Linked DNA regions of Arabidopsis thaliana. The protein of the gene in region 1 interacts with the protein of each later gene in a pairwise test. Each region holds a gene or a part of one and is shown in the gene's direction. Other genes may lie near its edges.

Region 1 (5,352 bases):
GCTATATCTAATTTTATAAAATGTTTGTGTCATTGAAACCAAAACAAAAAAAGGAGAATAGGTCCCACCGAGACTTGAACTCGGGTTACTGGATTCAGAGTCCAATGTCCTGACCACTAGACCATGGGACCATTCTATTCACGCTTTAATATTTGTTATTTTTATTGTGTTAGTTTCTAGTGTGTAATAAAAAAGAGAAATAAAATGATACAAGCTAAATGCTAGGAAAAATGTGGAAACACTAGTTTGGACAATGAGAAGTTTGAATTTTGATTTCAGAAAAGAAAACTAAATTAATTTTAGTGCAGACTATTCCGATTAGGTGTAAATGTGGTCTACATTTGTGATATATTATGAAGACGTAGAGAAGAGTTAGAAATTTTTGTCATCTTCTTTTGTTTCCTATGTTTGTTTTGTAATGCTAATGTTAAAACCGATTTGCTAGTTCAAAATGTCCGTATCTACCCGTATTGAATGTATGTAATTACCCATAGTATGTATTGTATATTGTAAACGATATTTTTTTAGTTTAGCTTATTTGACAAAAAAGAACGTCGTTTTTAAAGTAGAGTTTAGATTGCTGCTGCAAGAGTAGTTAGTATATTGAATAAAAGTATAGTGATATGACATTTTTGTCAAATTCTCCATGTGATATGTGAGTAGTAGTCAAAGACTCAAAGGAATAAAAGAGAAACAGACTAGAACTCTTTTTAATCTGAACCGTTCATCTATGTTGTATTTTTCTTCTATCATCGTGGCACTTCTCTAGTCTTCACACATTTTAAAATTCTTTTTTACTCGTATTAATTTATTTTTAAATTAGTAATATGTTAAATTATTTGTAATGGAGTTAAAAGAATCTGGAGGATGGATTTGATTTGACTGGCAGAGAAGGCATCTATCTCTTTGGGATGTTCCATAAGTATTTACTATTATTTGTACTCAGCATGTGCCTGTCTTTCATAATTCATATGCCAATCACAAAACTTGTGTTCAAATTAGTATAGAGACAATCATTGGTTTTGAGTTGTGAATTATGATTGGATAGTAGTAATCGTTAAGGCATCTAGGAAATTTTATGTCTGATTTACATTCAAAAAATCCTATATGTTTTAGAGCAGCAATATTTTTTTTTATGAATCCAAAAATCTAAAACCATGTATTCATTGTGTAACTATGATTGTTTAATGAGAGATTTTTAGCAATGATTGAACATCTACTATATATATTAGTGTCAAAATTGTCAAAGTTTCGATGTGCGACAATTCCAATAACTTATAACAACTGTCTGTAAAATTTTAGTGTATTGATCTTAATACCTACCTCTCTAGACAAAAGCCATAAGTTTATAAACACAATCCTAAAACATAAAATGAAGAACTATTCAATCCTAAACGAAAATGATTTATAATAATTATATTTCTGTTTGTGTTTTTGGATTGTGTATAACAAATATTCGCATTTAAACAAAAATACTATATATTATCTTTCTAAACACTATTCAATCATAATTGAACAATCTGCATGATATAAATCGTCAAAATCAATAAAAACTAATCAATTTTGCATTAAAAATAAAAAAACATCATCTAATTCAATACAATTTTTTTTCCTAAAACATAAGAAAAAAGGAGTATACTTTCTTGGCTCATGTATCTTGCCTTGTCTATGCATATTCATTTATTTCAAAATATGTCACCCATATTCATGTTTGTTGAAAACAATGCTACTTTATAGTAGTACGTAGTACGTTGTCTTTAACTCTTTTGACGTTCATATTATTTCCCAAAAAAAAAATACTAATCAAAAACGAAATGAGTCGGGTCTTAATCCGATCAAACGAGGTTAAATTGTGACCTAAACCCGTGTTCTGTTCGACTTTTGGCAAGTTCTAGAAAACACATGTTAGCTTTTGACGTTAGCATAGAGGTTAATGCTAGTTTTGATAATCTAGTACGTTGTCTTTATTTGATGCTCTTCTTTTTTTCTTCTCCAGAAAAGCCTACAAAAACTTAATAGAATCCTGTCTAATCCGATCAAACCAGGTTAACTTGTGGTCTAAAGATTCTAAACTCTTTAGAAAGCACTAATTTGGAAACATGGATTCCATGATATCTTTTTGCAAGTCATTGTTGCATTAATGAGTTAGCGGCAACAATATTTGTACTCATTGATTATGAAATTATTTTTGTTAAAATTAATGACGAAATTGGACAACATCGGTTCATGAACCCTCCAAAGAAAATTTACATTGCCCAAATAGACAACGCACAAACACAAAAACACCACACTGTCTCCATCTTTCTTTCCTCTTCTTCAACATCTCTCTTCTCCCAAGAAAATAAAACACAATTTCCCAGATTCAAAACTTCTTTTTCACAAATCACAACGTCTTCAAAGGGATCAAGAATCTTATTACTCTTCTCTTCTTTTGCTTTTAAGAAGAAGTAAAAACATCATCTTAACTTTCACTTTTTGTATTATCTTTCTCTTTCACTCACTTTAAAGTCTATTTAGAGATTCAAAAACAAAATCTTCCAGAAACTGCTTCTGATCTTAGAAGATGACTCACTTCTCCTAAAAAGCACCAATTTCAATCCTATTTTTTTCTCTTGTTTTCCGGCAAGATTTGGTAAAATTTTGTGTTCTGATTTGTTGTTTTGAATATCAACTATGGAACAACGGAAGAAAGGTTGTAAGATCAGGAAGAGAGGTGGTTCTTCCTCTTCTTCTTCTTCACTTGCTCGTCGAAACCGCTTCAAACGTGCAATTTTCGCCGGGAAAAGAGCCGCTCAAGACGACGGTGGCTCAGGAACTCCTGTTAAGTCCATCACCGCCGCTAAAACTCCAGTTCTGTTATCGTTTTCGCCGGAAAATCTTCCTATAGATCATCATCAATTGCAGAAAAGCTGCGTGTCGGCGAGAAAGCTAGCTGCGACGCTGTGGGAAATCAACGACGACGCAGACCCTCCGGTAAATTCTGATAAAGATTGCTTGAGAAGCAAGAAACCATCGAGATACAGAGCGAAGAAATCAACAGAGTTCTCTTCCATTGATTTCCCGCCACGATCATCCGATCCGATTTCTCGTCTAAGCTCAGAGGTTAGGGTTTGCTTCAGTTTCAAGTTTCCTCTGTGTTTTTTTTCTTTCTGAAATTCTAAGTCTGAAAAATCAAAATTGCACAGAGAATCGATCTCTGTGACGATATGATTCGTAGAAGATCAACAAATCCTCAGAAATTAAACCCAATTGAATACAAAATCATTGGCGCAAACTCGGTATGATTTGCAATCTTACCCTAAAAACACTTTTCTTGCGGAAGAAGAAAGGTCTGATTCTTAATTATATTACAGGTGAAAACTCGTTTCAAGAATGTCAGTGACGGATTAACAACGTCTAAAGAACTGGTAAAGGTATTAAAAAGGATCGGTGAGCTCGGAGATGATCACAAGACAGCAAGCAATCGTTTGATCTCTGCTTTGTTATGTGAACTAGACAGAGCAAGATCTTCACTAAAGCATCTAATGAGTGAATTAGATGAAGAGGAAGAGGAGAAGCGGAGGTTGATAGAGAGTCTACAAGAAGAGGCGATGGTTGAGAGAAAACTCCGGCGAAGAACAGAGAAGATGAATAGAAGATTAGGGAGAGAGCTCACGGAGGCTAAAGAAACAGAGAGGAAGATGAAGGAGGAGATGAAAAGAGAGAAGAGAGCTAAAGATGTTCTTGAAGAGGTTTGTGATGAGCTAACTAAAGGAATCGGAGATGATAAGAAGGAGATGGAGAAAGAGAGAGAGATGATGCATATAGCTGATGTTTTGAGGGAAGAGAGAGTTCAAATGAAGCTTACGGAGGCGAAGTTTGAGTTCGAAGATAAATACGCCGCCGTGGAGCGGCTGAAGAAGGAGCTCCGGCGGGTTTTGGATGGTGAAGAAGGAAAAGGGTCGTCGGAGATTCGTAGGATTTTGGAGGTGATTGATGGTTCTGGTTCTGATGATGATGAGGAGAGTGATCTTAAGTCCATTGAGTTGAACATGGAGAGTGGTAGTAAATGGGGTTATGTTGATAGCCTGAAAGATCGTCGGAGATTTGATGGCTCCGGCGGCGATGATGATGATGATGATCCGGTGGAGAAGAGATCAGTGATTGTTGAGAATGGTGAGAGAGATGAGTCTTTGAAGACTTTGAGAGATTACATTGTTTCAAATGTTAGATGTATTGGTCCTTCATCGTCAGAGCAGTGGAATCATCGGAATTTACCAAGCTCTGAGTTTGTGTAATCACCACCGCTAGCGCCGGCGAGGAAGAAAAAGAAATCATTTTTTTTTATAGTATATAATATTTCAGTATTTGTAATTTATTCAATTTAATTTGAAATACAAAATCAATTACGGAATATTTTTTGCCGGTATATCACATTTTTTCGTCTACAATGGTTTAACCTCAATTTACTACACATATCCAATCAAATCATTATTTGCATTTTCTATCAAAATATTCCGTTTTTATGATCGAAGTTTCAAGTTTGTAATCAAGTGATTTGTCAGAATTTGAAGTCTATTACGGAACTTAAGTGCTTATTTTAGAGAACAACAATTCATTACGTACGAGTTTTTATGTTTGTAACTAACTCTAATTAGACCATAATGTAGATGTAGAGAATAAGGGGAAACCAAACAAATCATGCTTGGAATGAATTGGAGGTGAATTGTACATTGTATATAACTATTAAAGAACTTATTTATTGGTGGCATTGAAGATATACACATGGAAACGTTGATTTGGTGTAAATTAAATCATAATGATTAGTACAACAATGAGAATAAGAACGAACAATAATGAGATATATAATTGATTCAAGAAAGGATTAGTTTAAGATTTTGAATCAAAAACGAAACAAGACATTTTCTCTATTATTGTCTAGACATTTGGACAGCATCGTTCCATCTTCCCATGTGATTTTGTCTCAACTATATATCCGTTACGTTTTACCCTATTTGGGAATATTTGGTAACAATTCAACCAAAAAAGTTACAAAAATTAATAAGATGACATGAACAATAACGAACAATAACGGATCTTCATTTTTCGATCATATATACACATGATTAGGTAATAGGTCAATTCGTGTGAAAGATATATGCATATACCAATCAGCCTTACTCTATGTCCCCCACTCAATATAATATTTTAGCTTAGAACCATATATATATGTACCATTAAACCAAATCAAGGGGTTTTGGGTTCCAAAAGTTTGTCTTTCTTTTTTTGTTTCATACTTTTACATAGTTTAGGGATAAATCATTAACTCGTATAACAAAATAAAACTACTAAAGTTGAAGCATAATATAGTGC
Region 2 (6,317 bases), on another chromosome or scaffold:
AATAGGTTGTCCAAAGGGAACAATGACTTTGTATCATCATCGTCATCGCCTCCGTATCCTCCCGCTCCAGGTAAGTCTTTTCGGCCAGCCGATACCGGCCAAGCCACGAGAACTCCGAGTATGACAACGACTGAGACCACGGCCAACTTCATTATTTTGCTTTCTTGATATCTCTCTCAATTTGATTGGCTTTGATGAATTTGTTTGATGAGAGGTGTGTTGTGTAGTAATTTATATATACAATTGGGTTTGGAAACTAATGTGATGCTTTTACGTGGGAGGCACAACTTTAAGATTTGAATATTCGAGTGACTTGCCTGCATGTCGTATATAATGTTTATGATATATAATTTTTTTTTGATCAAATGATATATATTAATAGTATAATTTTAAAAAACCTTTTTACAAGAGAAAAAATGATATAATGATCTTTACATTACTGAAATCAGGGTTTTGACTTATTTGGATTAGATTAATTGTAAAATTTATTTGTCAACAACTTCCATTGATTTAATTTTGTTTGTTTTTTGGTCGGTTATGTGAGACTATTATTATTTTATTTTGTTGTCTACAATTAACATACGTATATATACACTGGATGATGACATCAAAGTATGTTTTCGAGTAATCCGTAAAGCAAAATGTGATATATCGAAATTAACAAATTTTTTGCACAATCATTAATAATGAATTTGCTCAGATCCTCTAACAAAAATAGCGATATTACCTCTGCACATTTTTTAGCACGGAAAAATAGGTCCATTAGAGACATGTTGACAAAAAAAAAAAAACAATTCACCATAGGCTACGTTTATTGAAAATTGATGCATCTCAACAAGTTTTCAAACGTTCAAATTTTGAGTTTTTTTGAACTATACAACAAATTCTCACTAGTCAAAACCTTAAACTTTTTCATATATTTTTCTAGTTTTTATAATTTATATTTCTTACAAATAATTGTAGAAAACTCAATTTTTGGGTCATGAAAATCGCCAACAGTGTGAAAAGAGGCCAACCAAAAGCAGTTGATTCTCTAGAACTCATTGTTAATAACTGAAATATATGTATGTAAACTAATATTTGCTAGAATTATAAAGGAGAAAAGAGTACAATCGAAGTCGGAACCAACGCCGGCCGGTCGGAAAAATCACAGAAGAAAAATCGTATCAATCGCTTTTTCAATCGTCCATCTTCTTTATCTACCGGATAATACTTCCTAATACTTAAACTTTAAGAAAAAAGATTGTCAGCTAGCTATACGAAGTGTGGAAGAATACATTATCACATATGCCGCAACTAATATAAACGATACCCAGTTACCTGAAATATATATACGAAATATATGTCGTATGTGCCAATATCATAGACACTAAGTCTCGATTAATCGGTCGTTTTACTCTATCGTTGACTAATCGTTAACTCATCGGGATCCGAAAATGATCGGTTGTGAACCTTATTATTGGTTTCAATTATCGTTATTTTGTATAGAGACTATTTTTTCTTAAATCGTTTTATAAGAGTCACAAATCACAACTCGTCCTAAGTTCTCTCTCTATTCGACTAACCCAAGCACGACATTGACCACTATGCCTGGGCCTATTGACCACACTACAATAAAATCGCACACTACATGAAACTTGGGTTGAACATCTAATTTTCTCTAATTAAATTATTTTTACTTTGCTTAAAAGTTTTTGTTCCTGTCAGTTATACAATTTAAAATTGTTTGTTATCTTTAGTTCTTCAATTTGATTTATGATGTGGCATAAAATCCAGAAAGTGCATGGTTCCCACTCGACAACGGCTAAATTCCTCAACGGCTCCTTTTTGACTCTAGCATATTTAGGAGCCTTAATTATTAAATAATTTAATCACCCTTTAATTAGTATAACAATCCAATGTTAATTTTTTCATGCATTACACAATTAAATGCTTTTACCAGTATAATGACATGTGTTATACAATATCTTTCAAATTCAATTTTGTCCAAAATTATAAGTAGCTTTTTTATTTTTCTATAACAATTTATCACTTTTGGCCACATAAGGCTTTTCTTTCTCTGTATTCTTACACCTCATTCTTTATTGCCTTGTTTTACAGACACGTTCCCCAGTTTAAGGGACAAAACAGAGCCATTTTAGGACTCTTAACATTTATAAGTCCTCTTACTAAATAGATAAGCACAAATACTGTTTGGTTCTGTTTTGCTTCTTCATCATCATCGTATCTCCACCGTTTGTTTGTTGTTGTTCTGTTTCTTTAACAGGAAAAAAAAACAGAGAGAAAAATCTGTCTCTTCACTAACACAAATCCATTTTCTCTTCTTCTTGTAGAGAGACAGAGAAAACAGAGTTGTCCTCTAACTTCTTTCGATCGATTCAAAAACTCTAATGATTATTTGATTTTATGTTCGTTTGTTCGATTCTTAGATCGTAAAAAAATGGTGTCTTCTCCTCAGAGATTCGGTTTAATCTTAAGAGATCGTAACCAAAACGCTGGCGTTTTTCAAAAGAATCTGAAATCTCCGGTGAAAGAGGTTTTGAAATCTCATGTCTCCGATGAGAATTTAGTTGATTCTTGGATCGAAACTCACAATAACAAGAACAATCGTGTTCTTGAATCTCCGTTAGAATCGAAGAGAAACGACAATCTTGTGGCTTCTTCTTTGGTTCAGATATGGGAGGCGAGGCTAAACCGATCCAACGGTGGAAACTCGCCGAGTAGCAGTCAATCTACGGCGAGTAGTAGTAGTCGGAGCGATTCAGGAGTTAGTGTTCAAGATTCCGGTCTTTCAGAATCTTCATCAATCGATGGAGATTCTGAAATTGCTGATCGAACGGTGGAGATTGAATCTAGGTCACATGGTTTGGTTTCTGATTCCGGAGAAAGTAAATGGGGACGAGTCGCTGACCTAATTCGGAGGCTTAGCAACGAAGACAAGAAACGAACCGCTGGAGATAATGGCAGCGGCGGTGGCGGTGGACTCGAGATTATCAGAACGCCGAGGCCTTATTGCACTTCGTCGTCATCGGAGAAAAGTAATTTTCCGGTGGTTAGTTTCTCTCCGAAGATACGAGGACGACAAGCGTTTACCGATTTTCTTATGCAAATGGAACGTGATCGCCACCGTGAATTGGATTCGCTTTTTGAACGCAACGCAGTTTCTAGGTTTACTCAACGTGGTCGTCTCCAGGTAAATTATATTTTCACTATTTTGATAAAAATAACTAACATATTTGTGACTTTATTCATAATCCACTAAATGGTTTTTCTAATTACATTATTTAACCAGTCAATGCTAAGGTTAAGGAACCTCAATCGCTGTCTTGTGATTCAAGATAGAAACCGGTCTAACGCAAAAACAACCGGATTAAACCGAATTGAATCAGGCTCTGCTGTTCTGCATTTAAGGTTTTTTCAGATTCTCTGTTTTATGTTTTGAGTTTAGTTCTTAGGGTTTACTTTCTTCAGATTTTCAATCTTTGATTGGCAACGCAGGGAGAAATTTCATGCGAACGTAGTAAACTCTGCGGCTGCAACAGATAAGAGGAAGAATCATCAACGATCCACTGAGATGAACAACAAATCCGTAGAAGAAACAGAAGGAACTACTACCACAAGCACGAGGTTAAAGGATGGTGGTGTTACTCTCGAAGCTTTTTTCGCAGAGCGGTTGAGACCCCGTAACCGCAAGATAGAGGAAGCAACGTTATGTAAGGAAGAAGAATCTGTAAGTGGAACAGTTGATTCACAAAAGAATTGCCTTCAGCTGCAAGAAACAAGAGAAGTAGAAGAAACTTGCAACGATGGCAAGTCTGAAAAGAAAGAAGAAGAAAATACTAGCCCGAGTGAATATTTATCTCGAGAATCGCGGTTGAGACAGAATCAAGACGAGAACAATGTGGGAAAGTATATGCAAGAAACTCGAGAAACAGAAGGTCTAGTTCATGAGAGTAATGAGATGGACCAGTGCCTTGATCAACAAGAAACATCCTATTTGAATAGATGGGGAGAACAAGAAGAGTATGCAGATGAGCAGTCTTATTATGGAGAATATAACGACGACTGGCTTAGTGAAATAGCTAGGCCTCGGAGTTACTGGGAGGAATTGAGGAAGTCACGGTACCTGGAAGTAATGAACACTAGGTCTGAGAAAGATGACATATGCAGACTCCTTGAGCGGTAAGTAACCATCAAAATTGACAAGCTCATGTTTCTTAATGGTTAATAACTGACTAAGAAAATGAATTTCCCTGCTTAATACAGAAGAACGGTGACAGATTTCCTCGACAGCGGGTTGCGAGAGAAGATCGATAATCTCATGATGTCCCGTGTACAGACACACTCGGATAAGCACTCCAAAAAATGGGAATTGCAACAAGAAGAAGAGGAGGAAGTAAATTTTGAAATTGATGAAGAAATCAAAGAAGAGCCATTAAGAGGAGGTGAAGAGCAAGATGATAGAGATGACTTGAGCCAATCGTCGTCTTCACATATATCTGCATCGTCTCCTGCAGGATCATGGAGTTCTCAAGACACTGATGTTACTTCCACTCCTGCCTTGGTTGTTCAGAATCCTCAGTCACCTGTGAGTGTTTATCGATTTCTTGTTATACTATAGAAACTCGCAACCGCACTAGTGGTAAACTCATTGAGCCGCATATAAACGTTTTCAGGAAATGGAGCTGATAAGCGGTATGAGATCACAGATCCAACAGCTTCAGCAAGAAATGTCAGTACTACGAGATTCTGTCAAAACGTGTTTAGATGCTAACGCGAGCTTGCAACACAAGGCTCACCAAGAAAACCCAATGAAACGAAAATGCTGCGTCTGCGACGAAACACAGGTCGAGGCGGTTTTGTACAGGTGTGGACATATGTGCATGTGCCTAAAATGTGCCAACGAACTACATTGGAGTGGAGGGAAATGTCCGATTTGCAGAGCTCAGATTGTTGACGTTGTTCGTGTCATCTACGATACAAGAAACTGAAATCAACCGTTTTGAAAACGCTGAAGAATTCACTAACCCATTAAACCCTCTTTTCCTTATCGAGTTTGCGTTATTTGGCGTTTTGGGTCTGAATATCGTATTATGCTCTCTTTATACAGTTTTTAGGTTATGTTACCAACACTTTGTCCAGTTTTATGAAGTTTTTGATCTCCTAAACCAACCAAAAAAATTAACGGAAAATAGCCTAAAAATAAACCTTAAAACCTGAAAAGGCAAGTCACAAACAGAGCTTGGAAACATACATGAATTTTTGCAATTACTCTAGTAACCATCATTTCATTGATTTTGATACCTCATTGAGTACACTCTAAAAATTGTAGATTAAAGTCTGAAAACAGATCTTCGATGCAAAAGTGAAGCACATAGATTATAAAATACTCTCATAATCATCTACTCTTGGTCAAATTTATTTCATAAAGATTCAACAAAGCCAAACAAACCCTCAAAAATTGGAGATAGAGCTTCTAAGCAAACACTAAAAATTATACTTTTTGAGTTGTTTTAGAATCATAAACCCTTTATCGATTTTGATTTCTCAAAGACTCAACACTCTCTTTCTCTCCATAATATTTACACATCATCCGTAGATACATTACACTCATTTCATACATACATATTATAAATAAAACTCTGTGTTCTGTTTTTGTTTTCCTTATTCAAGCGTTTTGTGCGGTCAAGAAGGTGTTGAAGTCATCTCTAGCCTTACGCAAACGTGGAGTGATACAAGTTCGAGGCGAAGTAGGGCACGAAACTGAAGCCGATGAAGACGAAGTCGAGAACCTAACACGACGTTGCGGTGAAGACTCAGCTGATCTCCGGTGATCACGAGTACTCCTCGTCTTTAAAACGCTTCTCAGAGCCAAAGTCTCTGTTTCTCTATCGAATAAGAAACCAGAGGTCACCGGTTCTTGCACATCTCTTCCTCCATTTCCACCGCGGCTGTTGCACTTCGTCATCTCAACCGGAAAATCGAAAAACAACCGACCGTTATCTTGAATAAGAGCTGTCGTCGATGCCCAAGAACCGCATTCGAATTTCTCTAGCGAGGCGCGTACAGAAACAGTTGATCCCGTGAAGGAAGAAGCTCTGATCATCTTCTTCTCCATAGAATTTTGGCGTTTCGAAGAAGATCTAATCAGCTTGTTCTTTCCGAAGCCAGGTAGAGACAAGCAGAAGGCGTTACATTTGAAATCTTCTTCCTTGTAGAGGATTTTCTCTGCGAAACGCGATTTGCTCATAAATATGACTGATTCTTGGTGGCTAAGCTTCTTCCGGACTCTCATCGGCTCCGGAAGCATAGGAAGC
Region 3 (5,030 bases), on another chromosome or scaffold:
ACTTATTCTCTGCATTGATAATACAGAATGAGAGAAGAAGAAAACATTGTAGAAAGTAAGACATCAAAGTTTAATATTCTCTTGTTGTATGTATACCTCTGTTTTGCTGTCAAAGATCTTTGATCTCCTCTGATATATTTAAACTAAAAGATTTAATTCTTCAAACATATCATTATACCGGAGAGGGAGAGGTTCATATTCTAAAACATGTAAGCATTCCGAGCAAAAGAAATGTTTATATTATTCATCCAAAATGTTGGTTCGTGTCACACGATAATACACATTGTAGAAGGAAGACTAGAAGTAGAACCAGCTACATTAGAGTTTAATGTATCTATATAATAATAAGTCAAAAATACCCACTTGGATTATTATGTTCTTATCATTTTTGGGGTTATCAAAGATACTTTATAAACTTTTGACTTTTGCATTGGCATTGTCTTTACTCCGATGATCTACGCCTGAGAGTTGACCGCTTCACAGTCCAGTCTTCAAATTGTTTTCGCACTTACGATATCATTCATTTCTGATTCGTTAGGGCTCCCCCAAGCTTACAATCTTCCTTAGTAAAGTTTGGGAAAAAAACAAATAACATAAACATAATCAATCTCAATCTGAAACGAACTAAACACTACTATAGTTCATTTTCTCTCATATGTATATAACAAGATAATTGTCAAAACAAAAACTGTGAGTTGTAATCAAATGATGGCATTGATCAATAGTCATTGCTTTGTTGATTGAAGAAGATTCCACTTTTAAGGAAAAAAGACAGCTACAATAACTAAATTCTTTAAGGTTCGTTAGCAATGTAACCGAATACGTGAAGTAACACTAGCCATTGTTTAAAGAAAGAGAGTCGTCGAAACAAAACGTTGACTAGCTTATATGCTCTTATAATGATTTAGACAACTCACGTATATACGACGTTGAAGCCAAATTAGTTGAAATGTATATGTAAATGTAGTTGACTTTGGTAAGCGAATCTCCATTTTGGTCTTTTAAGAATCTGTAACGCCTGGAAATTGCCAATACCTCCGGTTCGTATATCTTTATATCATGATTTATGAGTGCGTATATTTGACTTTTTCTTGCAAAACCATACATACATAACATGCGAATGTCTTGTGTCTGTGTATATGATATCTAATGTATGGGAAAACTTGGAATATAGGTTTTATTTTCTTCTAGACAAGATCATGAAGTATAGTACGTATCTTTTATGATCATCTTTTTGGTCAGACGAAAGAATATTAGTTTTATATAATACATAATTTGTGATTTGTTTTTCTATCCTCTATAAGCACAAACATATACTATCAGATTATGACACATCAACAGTGCTAATATAACATTAGGCTGTAAAATCAACTTAAATATTTTGTAACACTTTTCTCTTAACTATTACAATAAACGTATAGCTGTTAGTTTGCAAGGACAGCGTTAACAACTTATTGTATCATAGTATTGATTCAAAACGTTAATTACTGTGATAACTATAACTTATTAACTGAAATGCAGACGTTGACAGACACACAAGAATTGAAATGTAGAAACGCGTTTATATAAGAGAACGCTAAATATATAAATTTCGGACTTTTCTAGTGAAACTCTATTAGTCTTCTTTTTTTTCTTTGGTCAAAAAACTTCCAATACGAAATTCGAACAAGAAGTATAATTAGTGATCAATAATGCGAATGATGCAATAAAAAGTCAAATGAAATGAAATTGATGAATTTAACTGTTATATAAAATTATAAGTTGACAGAATGAAATAGTCATATAATTCTAGTTCTAGACGTGGATAGCAAAAACTTTGTCGCCCATATGTATATAAAATTTGTACTCTAGTTATCTTTTAAGTATATAAGGCTTATATTATACATCGAAGTCAATGGTTCTTTGTGGTCTGGGTCTATAATCACAGGTAAGCACATCGTCATCGATTTCATTTTCAAAGTCAAGACCAATCTCGCTCTCTATATAATTGTTAAAAACCATCTTTCTAATTAAAATAGAAAGAGTAAAAGCCAAGTAACACCATTTTAAAAGGCTTCGCTTTCAATTCAGAAAGAAGAGAATAGAGAGCTTCTTCTTCTTCAATGGCGAAAATGGCGAAATTTTCTTTCTTCTCTTCGTCATCTCCTAAATATCATCCTTCTTCGCCTTCTTCATTCACTTCTTTCCCGGCTTCTCCTCTAAACCAGAACTTTACTCAGGCTATGATGGAGGAAACCGTGGAGACAGCGGACTCCGTCATCAGAAAATGGGACCCGAACACGCCTTCCTTCACCAAGATTGTCTCTCTGTTCAACCATAGCAGGAAGGAGGCTAAAGAGTTCATCAGATGTGTCCGTGATTTGCGCAGAGCGATGCACTTTCTTGTCTCTCAAGACTCTCAATCTCCAAAGCTTGCTCTAGCTCAGACCCTGATGCAGATCGCCATGGCAAGGCTCGAAAAAGAGTTCTTCCAGATATTATCTTCAAACAGAGACAAGCTTGATCCTGAATCAGTTTCCGGTCAATCCTCAATCTCCAGCAATTCTGAATTTGAAGATGTTATGGGATCTGACGACGACGATGAAAGTGACAATGAGATGAGGAAAGCTGGCGAATCGATCACTCAGGTTGAGAAAGCTTCAGCTATGGTGATGTCTGACCTTAAGGCGATAGCAGAGAGTATGATAAGTTGCGGATATGGTAAGGAGTGCGTAAAGATTTATAAGCGGGTCAGAAAATCTATTGTAGATGAAGGGCTGAGCTTGCTCGGGATTGAAATCTACAAAGGCTCCAGATTTCACAGAACGGACTGGGTCACGCTCGAGCATATGATCAAGAACTGGATAAAAGCTGCAAAGATTGGCATTGCCACGCTCTTCCGTGGAGAGAAACTTCTTTGTGATCATGTCTTTTCTGCTTCCAATTCAACAAGGGAGTCATGCTTCTACGAGATTGCAAACGAAGCAGCCACTAACCTTTTCAAGTTCCCTGAATTTGTTGCCAAGGAGAAGAAATCGCACGAGAGGATCTTCCCGCTAATGGATCTGCAGGCTGCAATCTCTGATCTCTGGCAAGACATAGAGATGATATTCCACTTTGATGCAGTAGCTGGTGTGAAATCTCAGGCGCTCACATCGCTGCAAAAACTAAAGGTCTCAATCCACAGTGCTCTCACGGATTTTGAATCAATCATTCAGAAAGATACGACGAAAGCTCTAACACCTGGAGGAGGGATTCATAAACTGACACGATCAACAATGAACTTCATCTCTTCCCTTTCTAAGTACAGCGGAGTCTTGTCGGAAATCCTAGCAGACCATCCACTCCCGAGAAACACTCGCCTGCTGGAATCCTATGTCAGAGCTCCAATTTCGGAAGATGAACAACACAATCACGCACTCTCTGTCCATTTTGCTTGGCTAATCCTGGTTTTGCTATGCAAACTAGACACCAAAGCAGAGCATTACAAGGATGTTTCTTTGTCTTACCTTTTCCTTGCAAACAACCTTCAGATCATCATTGAAACGGTTGGTTCAACTCCCCTAAGGAATCTCCTTGGAGATGATTGGCTCAATAAGCACGAAGATAAACTCTGCGCTTATGCTGGGAATTATGAGATAGCAGCATGGTCCAATGTTTTCATGTCTTTACCAGAAGAACCCACAGACCTATCACCAGAGGAAGCTAAAATATATTTCAGAAGATTTCACACGGCATTTGAGGAAGCATATATGAAACAATCATCACGAGTTGTACCAAATGCGAAACTTAGGGACGAACTAAAGGTTTCAATAGCAAAGAAACTTGTACCAGAATACAGAGAGTTTTACAGGAAGTACTTACCAATGCTCGGCCAGGAGAGAAACATTGAGATCTTGGTGAGATTCAAGCCAGATAATTTGGAGAATTACATCTCTGATCTTTTCCACGGTACACCAATTCATGCATCCTCTTCTTTTTCTTCATCTTCTTCCTCTTCATCCTGGAAATCACTTGGGTGTGTTTCAGGCTGAGAGACTTGATCCATAGTTTTGGCTAAATATTCCATTTTTTACATGATGTGAAGTGAAAAAAATGTAGATACGTGTGTTTGCATTGTGTGTGCAACAGAAAATGAGAACAAAAAAAAAAAAATGAGATTTTCTTTACATAATTTATGACGAGTTCTTCATTATCTAAGAAAAAACAAACTTGCGATACGCTTTAAGAATAAAACGAGTAGTCTCTAATAACCGAAGCTGATATAAATCTGATAAAGAATTCGATTCAGTGATATACATTCAAGAAGCCAATTACAAATCACAAAGAAGAAAAAGGCATAAAAAATCACACACAGCATACTGTAAACATAATGTGCTGAAGAACAAAAGCATTATTCACTCCTTCAATAACTAGAAAAAGAAGGAAATATGATATGCAAGAAAACATTTGAATCGCAACTATTACTTAGGAACTCCATGATCAGAAGGACGGGACAAAGATTGCCAACCGGTACAAATTTGCATGATTTGCTTGAGAGTTTCTGATGGTGGCTCCACAGTCCATGTTGGGTAGTGTTCACTTGGATGGAATACACATTCTTCACTGGCTCCTGTCATCAAGGAAGGTTGAGCTCCATTCAAGAACAAGTCATTTTCAGATCGTACTAACCCAGTTCTCGCTTCTTCCTTGTCAGCAGCCTACAAACAAACTCACACAAGATGATGGTGGTGGATTCAAAATAAGAACAAGATTTTCTCTGATGCAAATGAAAAGCGAGAATTAACCTTTTCTGAGTAGTATTCAAAAGTTTTCTTCTTCACTCCTGCTTCGTATATATTGCATTGAGAGAACACCTGATTTCAGAAACATAAGAATCTTCAGGTGAGACCTCAAGCAATGATCTAAGATCTGCAAAAGAGTTTACCTGCGCTTCTACACTAGCACAAACAGCATATATTCCCCAGTTTCTTGTGTAGTTGTTGTACAAATGAACTTTTCCAAATCTGAGACGAGGTTGTCTCTGCCTAGTTCCATCAAAGAAACAATGG
Region 4 (5,932 bases), on another chromosome or scaffold:
AACATCCATAAAGTTTCAAACTTCTAAAACACGTCCCTAGATAAGAAGCTAAGAAACAACTTCACCCAAATGAATAAAGAAAGAGTCCAGTACCTCAAAGCGAATATTCTTGTAGACAAGCTCTTCAACATTGCTACCAACAGTAGGATGAGTAGTAACAACTTCACCCAAATGAAGTTTATAAAGCGTCGTCGTTTTACCAGCATTATCCAAACCAACAACAACAATCTTATACTCTTTTGCAGGAAACATCATGAACCAAAACCTCGACATGAATGCTCCCATCTCCTCCAATTTCTATCACAAACAAGATCCTAATCAAATAAAACACATCATTACTTTTACGATCAAATTGTTCTACAAACAGAGTGAAATCGAGAAACCCTAAAGATACATCCTTTAAATTGACCCATCAATTTTACAAACCCAAGTAATTGAATCAGAGAAGCCCAGATCAGATTTGGATACAACGATCCCAGATTCGATAAAGTTAACCAAATCTAAATTATATATATACAAATCGGGAAATTTGTGATCAAACCTTGAATCAGCTAGAATCTGAAGATTGCAGAGGTAAGAATCGGAGATCAAAAAAAGTTCTTCTTCTACTATTTTGTAAGCTTTTGAGGTTCCTTCCTTAAAGCAGATGGGTGGAGAGAAGAAGAAGAAGAAAAGTATGCGGGAAACAATGTCAAAACTGTAAATATGATGATCTAAATTATTAATAACTTTTAATATAACAAATATTAAAATGAAAACTATATAGTAATGTTTTCTTTTACTTACCCAAACGGCTGCAGCCTCTACCGTAATGGCACCGAACACGTCACCGCCATTAGCCACGACGCCAAAGACGAACATTGTTGAAGACTTGAAATCCACAAAGATGTTTTTAAACGAGAAAAAAAAAAACTCAAACGGGCTTAGGGCCTTTCCATATATTTTAGATTATAACAATTACATTTTCTCGGCCCACAGAAGTATATAAAATTAAATAGAAGTAAATTATATTGAGGATTTAAAATAACAAATTTAATTATAATTTGAAATCATGGTTATAATACGATCGTGTGAAATGTTAATTAAATGCTTATATTGATTATTTTATTATTAAATTTGTGCTAATTTTGGTAACGAATCTTATTTTTGTTATTGTATACGATGATTTAAAATATATATATATATATATATATATATATATATATATATATATATATAATAGTTCTAGAAAAGTCTAATTGGATTTTTTAGATCCTATCATAGTTGATAGTTCTCTTTTTGTATATGGCTAGCAATGCGGAATCGACTCTCTACATTAGATTCAATGAAGGCTTGGAATGTGAACTTGAATCGAACATGTGTGTTATGTAACACTCTTATCGAGACACGAGAGCACTTGTTTTTCAGCTGTAAGTACTCGTCGGCAGTCTGGTCCTCCCTAGCGAAACCACTACTCTAGTGACGATTCTCTACAATATGGCAAGCTCTAGTCATTATTATTACTTCTGATCACTGTAACAGAATCCATATATTCTTCCTCTAATACAGTTTTCAAATAATGGTTCATTCGATTTGGCGAGAACGCAATAAAAAAAACACACAATAAAACTCTGATTCTTATCACACATCTTCCTAAGTGAATAGATAAGCTGGAAAAAAAAAAAACTCTCAATCATTTGAAAGGAGAAATATAGTAGATACGAACCAAATCTCCAAACATGGTTTGCATCTAAAAGTCCTTAAAACCTCTCTTGTATAATCTAATTTCAAAACAATTTTGGAAAAGTTACATTTGATGTATCCTAACTTTATTTTTTCTTGGTCGAATTTAATATTTTATTAAAAATAATAATAGTAATAATCACAAAATCTAATTTGATCATTCTTAGGTGGGTAGGTACACTTATTTTACATACAGCCTCGACGGCACCAAAACATAGAATATATATATAAATACAAATACAAATATTCCAAATATAACCTCTCTCCCAAAGTCCTATCATATCAGAAAAAAAAAAAAAAATCCAAATTCAACACTCTCACACTTCGATATCTCCGCCTTCATTCTCCTCAGAGCCAACTGTCCTGAGATTTCGATTTCGATTTCTCCGATCTCTCTTCCTCCGTCGCCGGCGAAACCATGTCTCAGTCTATTCAATTCTCCACTCCTTCACACACTCCTCACCTTCTCCATCTCCCTCACTCACAATTCAACCGTCCTCTCTCCTCTATCTCCTTCCGTCGCTTCCCTCTAACAACCATCAAATACACTTCCATCAGAGCCTCCTCGTCATCATCTCCTTCACCGGATCTCGATTCATCGTCCTCATCATCATCCTCGCAAGTACTTCTCTCACCTAACGGTACTGGTGCTGTGAAGTCTGATGAGAGATCCGTTGTCGCTACGGCGGTTACGACTGATACGTCTGGGATTGAGGTTGATACTGTGACGGAAGCTGAGCTTAAGGAGAATGGATTTAGAAGTACGAGGAGGACGAAGCTGATCTGTACGATCGGACCGGCGACTTGTGGATTTGAGCAGCTTGAGGCGCTTGCTGTGGGAGGTATGAATGTGGCAAGGCTTAATATGTGTCACGGTACGCGTGATTGGCACCGCGGTGTGATTCGTAGTGTTCGGAGGCTTAATGAGGAGAAAGGCTTTGCGGTTGCTATTATGATGGATACTGAAGGTAGTGAGATTCATATGGGAGATCTTGGTGGTGAAGCTTCAGCTAAAGCAGAGGTTGTTTAATCTCTTCTTATTTTGATTTGAATTCGATGTAGACATTGCTGTGTTTGTGATTTAGATGTTTAAGCTTTGGTGGTGATGACATTTTTACAGGATGGTGAGGTTTGGACTTTCACTGTTAGAGCTTTTGATTCTTCTCGTCCTGAACGTACCATTAGTGTTAGCTACGATGGTTTCGCTGAAGGTATATGCAATTATGTTTATGTAAAAGTGGAAGTGAAAACATTAGATGAATATTATGGTGACTGCGTATGAAATAGGAATCATTTGGTCTTTGTGTGTGGTGTAGATGTAAGAGTTGGGGATGAACTTTTGGTTGATGGTGGGATGGTGAGATTTGAAGTGATTGAGAAGATTGGTCCTGATGTTAAGTGTCTATGTACCGATCCTGGATTGTTGCTTCCTCGAGCTAACTTGACGTTTTGGAGAGATGGAAGTCTTGTACGAGAGCGTAATGCCATGCTTCCAACAATTTCTTCCAAGGTTTGTAATTTTGTATCTTCCCTTTAAGCTTTGAATTATGATTCACTTTACTTGGTAAATTTGGGAGGGATCAAAGCAATGGTGAAGATGTACACTTTTGGAAACTAGATGAGTCCATGTTAGCAAAACAGATGATACCTGAGGGAAAACATACTCATTTTCACTGATGATACCTCAATTCTTTATATTCAGGACTGGTTGGATATTGATTTTGGAATTGCTGAAGGTGTGGATTTCATTGCTGTATCGTTTGTCAAGTCGGCTGAAGTCATTAATCACCTTAAAAGTTATCTTGCTGCTCGTTCCCGTGGAGGGTAAGTAAACATGCTCAATATCAACACATCATACTACTGTACAGGAAACATATGATCTACTTTGGGATTGGGTTTTGCGTCATGTATTCACCATCTTTAGTTATAGTTTTATTTTGATGTTGTATTCAACTATGATGCAGGGAAATTGGAGTGATTGCAAAGATCGAGAGTATCGATTCACTGACCAATTTGGAAGAAATTATTCTAGCATCAGATGGGGCCATGGTTGCAAGAGGAGATCTGGGAGCTCAGATACCTCTTGAGCAAGTTCCAGCAGCTCAACAGAGAATCGTCCAAGTATGCAGAGCTCTTAACAAACCCGTCATTGTCGCTTCACAGCTATTGGAGTCCATGATTGAGTACCCAACTCCAACCAGAGCAGAAGTTGCCGACGTGTCTGAAGCAGTAAGACAAAGATCAGATGCATTGATGCTCTCTGGAGAATCAGCTATGGGACAATTCCCAGACAAGGCGCTCACGGTTCTAAGGACTGTCAGTTTAAGAATCGAGAGATGGTGGAGGGAAGAGAAACGCCATGAGTCTGTACCGCTTCAAGCCATAGGCTCTTCATTTTCAGACAAAATCTCAGAAGAGATCTGTAACTCAGCTGCTAAAATGGGTAAATTTAGGTTCTTTGTTTTCCATAGAAGGCAATATGTCTTTAGTGTCTCATTTTACTATCCAAAAACTTGCAGCTAACAATCTTGGAGTGGACGCGGTTTTCGTTTACACAACGAGCGGACACATGGCATCACTGGTCTCCCGATGTCGCCCGGACTGCCCGATCTTTGCTTTCACAACCACAACCTCAGTGAGAAGACGCTTAAACCTACAATGGGGACTTATCCCATTCCGTCTCAGCTTCTCAGACGACATGGAAAGCAACTTGAACAAAACATTCTCGTTACTGAAATCAAGAGGTATGATCAAATCTGGTGACCTCGTGATCGCAGTCTCGGACATGCTGCAATCAATCCAGGTAATGAACGTCCCGTAATTCTCTCTCTTTATACAATTTCGCAATCCCGCAAAAGAGTGTTTTGTTTCCTACTTTTGTTACTGTTTTTAGACTACTCTTACATTAGATTCCAGAGGCATCATCATCTTCGGTTTGTTAACAACAGTAATGTGTAAGCTTTGTTTGTAGTGTGTACTGTTTGTTTTTGGTTTTCAATAATATCAGTAATCTTATTCAAATATTCGATTCTATCATTTAGTCCTTTTGTTTTATCTTTTTGTTAGGATATATATGTAAACCCAAATAGGATGAGTTCGAATATATACCATAACCCTATATTATAAATAGTGTATATATAATCACAATTAGAATCGCCTCTCCATTAGAGAAGATATTTGAACAAACATGAAAAGTTGCAAGAGACCTCGGATGAAGAATCAAGAGAGAGATTTTTATGAAACTCCGTCGGATTGTTCGGAAGAAGAGATTCAACGGAGTTGCGAGTTCGTGAAAAAAGTTAAAGAGTTGGATGATAAGACAATCATCGTTAAATTTTTAAATGCAATGAAGTCTTATCGATCTAAGTCTTTAAGTTACATCGATCTCAAAACCAAAGTCGCTTCTATTCTTCGTAACCACGACGCTCTGCTCCAAGAATTCCATCAGCTTCTTCTATTAGATTCACCTATCACAGAGAAGGATTGTAACTCGGCAAAATCAGACGTAGAACGCACGGTTGAGTTGATGAAGAAAGTGGAAGGTTTGGGAAAGGGTTTACACGGTGCGTTCCTAAATCAGCTGGTGTTTGGCGGTGATATTGTGGATTTGGTTGAACAACTCGACGTGATTCTCTGCGATCACGCATCTCTTAAAGAGGAGTTCATATTGTTTCTAGTTGATTCCCGTTTACTCAAAAAACCGAAACGTGGTTTTGAGGCGGGGGCAGAAGAGTATAAGACTAGACTTGAAACTGAAGAGGAATTATCATCCTCTGATGAGTTTTTAAATGGGAAATACGTTTCAAAGAGTCAGTATGATCTGGATCAAGTGAAGAAGAAGAGACTGATGCAAGAGTAAGAAGACGAAGATGACTGATGCGAAAGAATTTAAGGTAAAAACGAAGCTATGACCGTCAAGAACTAAAGAGCAATGTGAACAAGTGAAGAGAGTTTTGTTTCTTTTATTTTTCTAGTCTTTTTTTTTTATTATTGATTTGTGGCTACATTGTGATTGTGATTGTGAATCTCGTTATGTTTCTTTGCATTCGAGTCTTCCAATGTTGTTTTCTATTCACCAAAAAAAAAAAAAAAACGTTGTTTTCTTAGGAGGGCGTAATGAATCCTTTTTCAAAGTTTTTATGCACACTTGATTTAAAAACGTGTTTAGGAAGTTTATGAAAACTTCTGATACACTTTGGTTATCAAAAAG

The links.
Region 2: the proteins of AT5G22310 (region 1) and AT1G30860 interact in a two-hybrid assay, tested with the Arabidopsis thaliana proteins (one large-scale study listed by BioGRID).
Region 3: the proteins of AT5G22310 (region 1) and EXO70H1 interact in a two-hybrid assay, tested with the Arabidopsis thaliana proteins (one large-scale study listed by BioGRID).
Region 4: the proteins of AT5G22310 (region 1) and PKP-ALPHA interact in a two-hybrid assay, tested with the Arabidopsis thaliana proteins (one large-scale study listed by BioGRID).

The regions. Positions count from the first base shown.
Region 1 is NC_003076.8:7,382,667-7,388,018, reverse strand, and holds AT5G22310 (trichohyalin-like protein), read left to right. Parts: upstream 1-2,185; 5' UTR 2,186-2,673; coding exon 2,674-3,102; intron 3,103-3,185; coding exon 3,186-3,278; intron 3,279-3,353; coding exon 3,354-4,277; 3' UTR 4,278-4,436; downstream 4,437-5,352.
Region 2 is NC_003070.9:10,985,370-10,991,686, reverse strand, and holds AT1G30860 (RING/U-box superfamily protein), read left to right. Parts: upstream 1-2,093; 5' UTR 2,094-2,440; coding exon 2,441-3,193; intron 3,194-3,292; coding exon 3,293-3,411; intron 3,412-3,498; coding exon 3,499-4,182; intron 4,183-4,266; coding exon 4,267-4,588; intron 4,589-4,676; coding exon 4,677-4,991; 3' UTR 4,992-5,191; downstream 5,192-6,317. Other genes in the region: AT1G30870 (Peroxidase superfamily protein), read right to left, coding at 1-152; RSH4 (root hair specific 4), read right to left, coding at 5,669-6,317.
Region 3 is NC_003074.8:20,439,638-20,444,667, reverse strand, and holds EXO70H1 (exocyst subunit exo70 family protein H1), read left to right. Parts: upstream 1-2,017; 5' UTR 2,018-2,102; coding exon 2,103-4,013; 3' UTR 4,014-4,177; downstream 4,178-5,030. Other genes in the region: AT3G55140 (Pectin lyase-like superfamily protein), read right to left, coding at 4,443-4,679, 4,767-4,835, 4,907-5,030.
Region 4 is NC_003074.8:8,137,229-8,143,160, forward strand, and holds PKP-ALPHA (Pyruvate kinase family protein), read left to right. Parts: upstream 1-1,956; 5' UTR 1,957-2,140; coding exon 2,141-2,743; intron 2,744-2,842; coding exon 2,843-2,933; intron 2,934-3,038; coding exon 3,039-3,232; intron 3,233-3,424; coding exon 3,425-3,546; intron 3,547-3,686; coding exon 3,687-4,165; intron 4,166-4,241; coding exon 4,242-4,543; 3' UTR 4,544-4,824; downstream 4,825-5,932. Other genes in the region: ARFC1 (ADP-ribosylation factor C1), read right to left, coding at 94-285; AT3G22961 (Paired amphipathic helix (PAH2) superfamily protein), read left to right, coding at 4,910-5,581.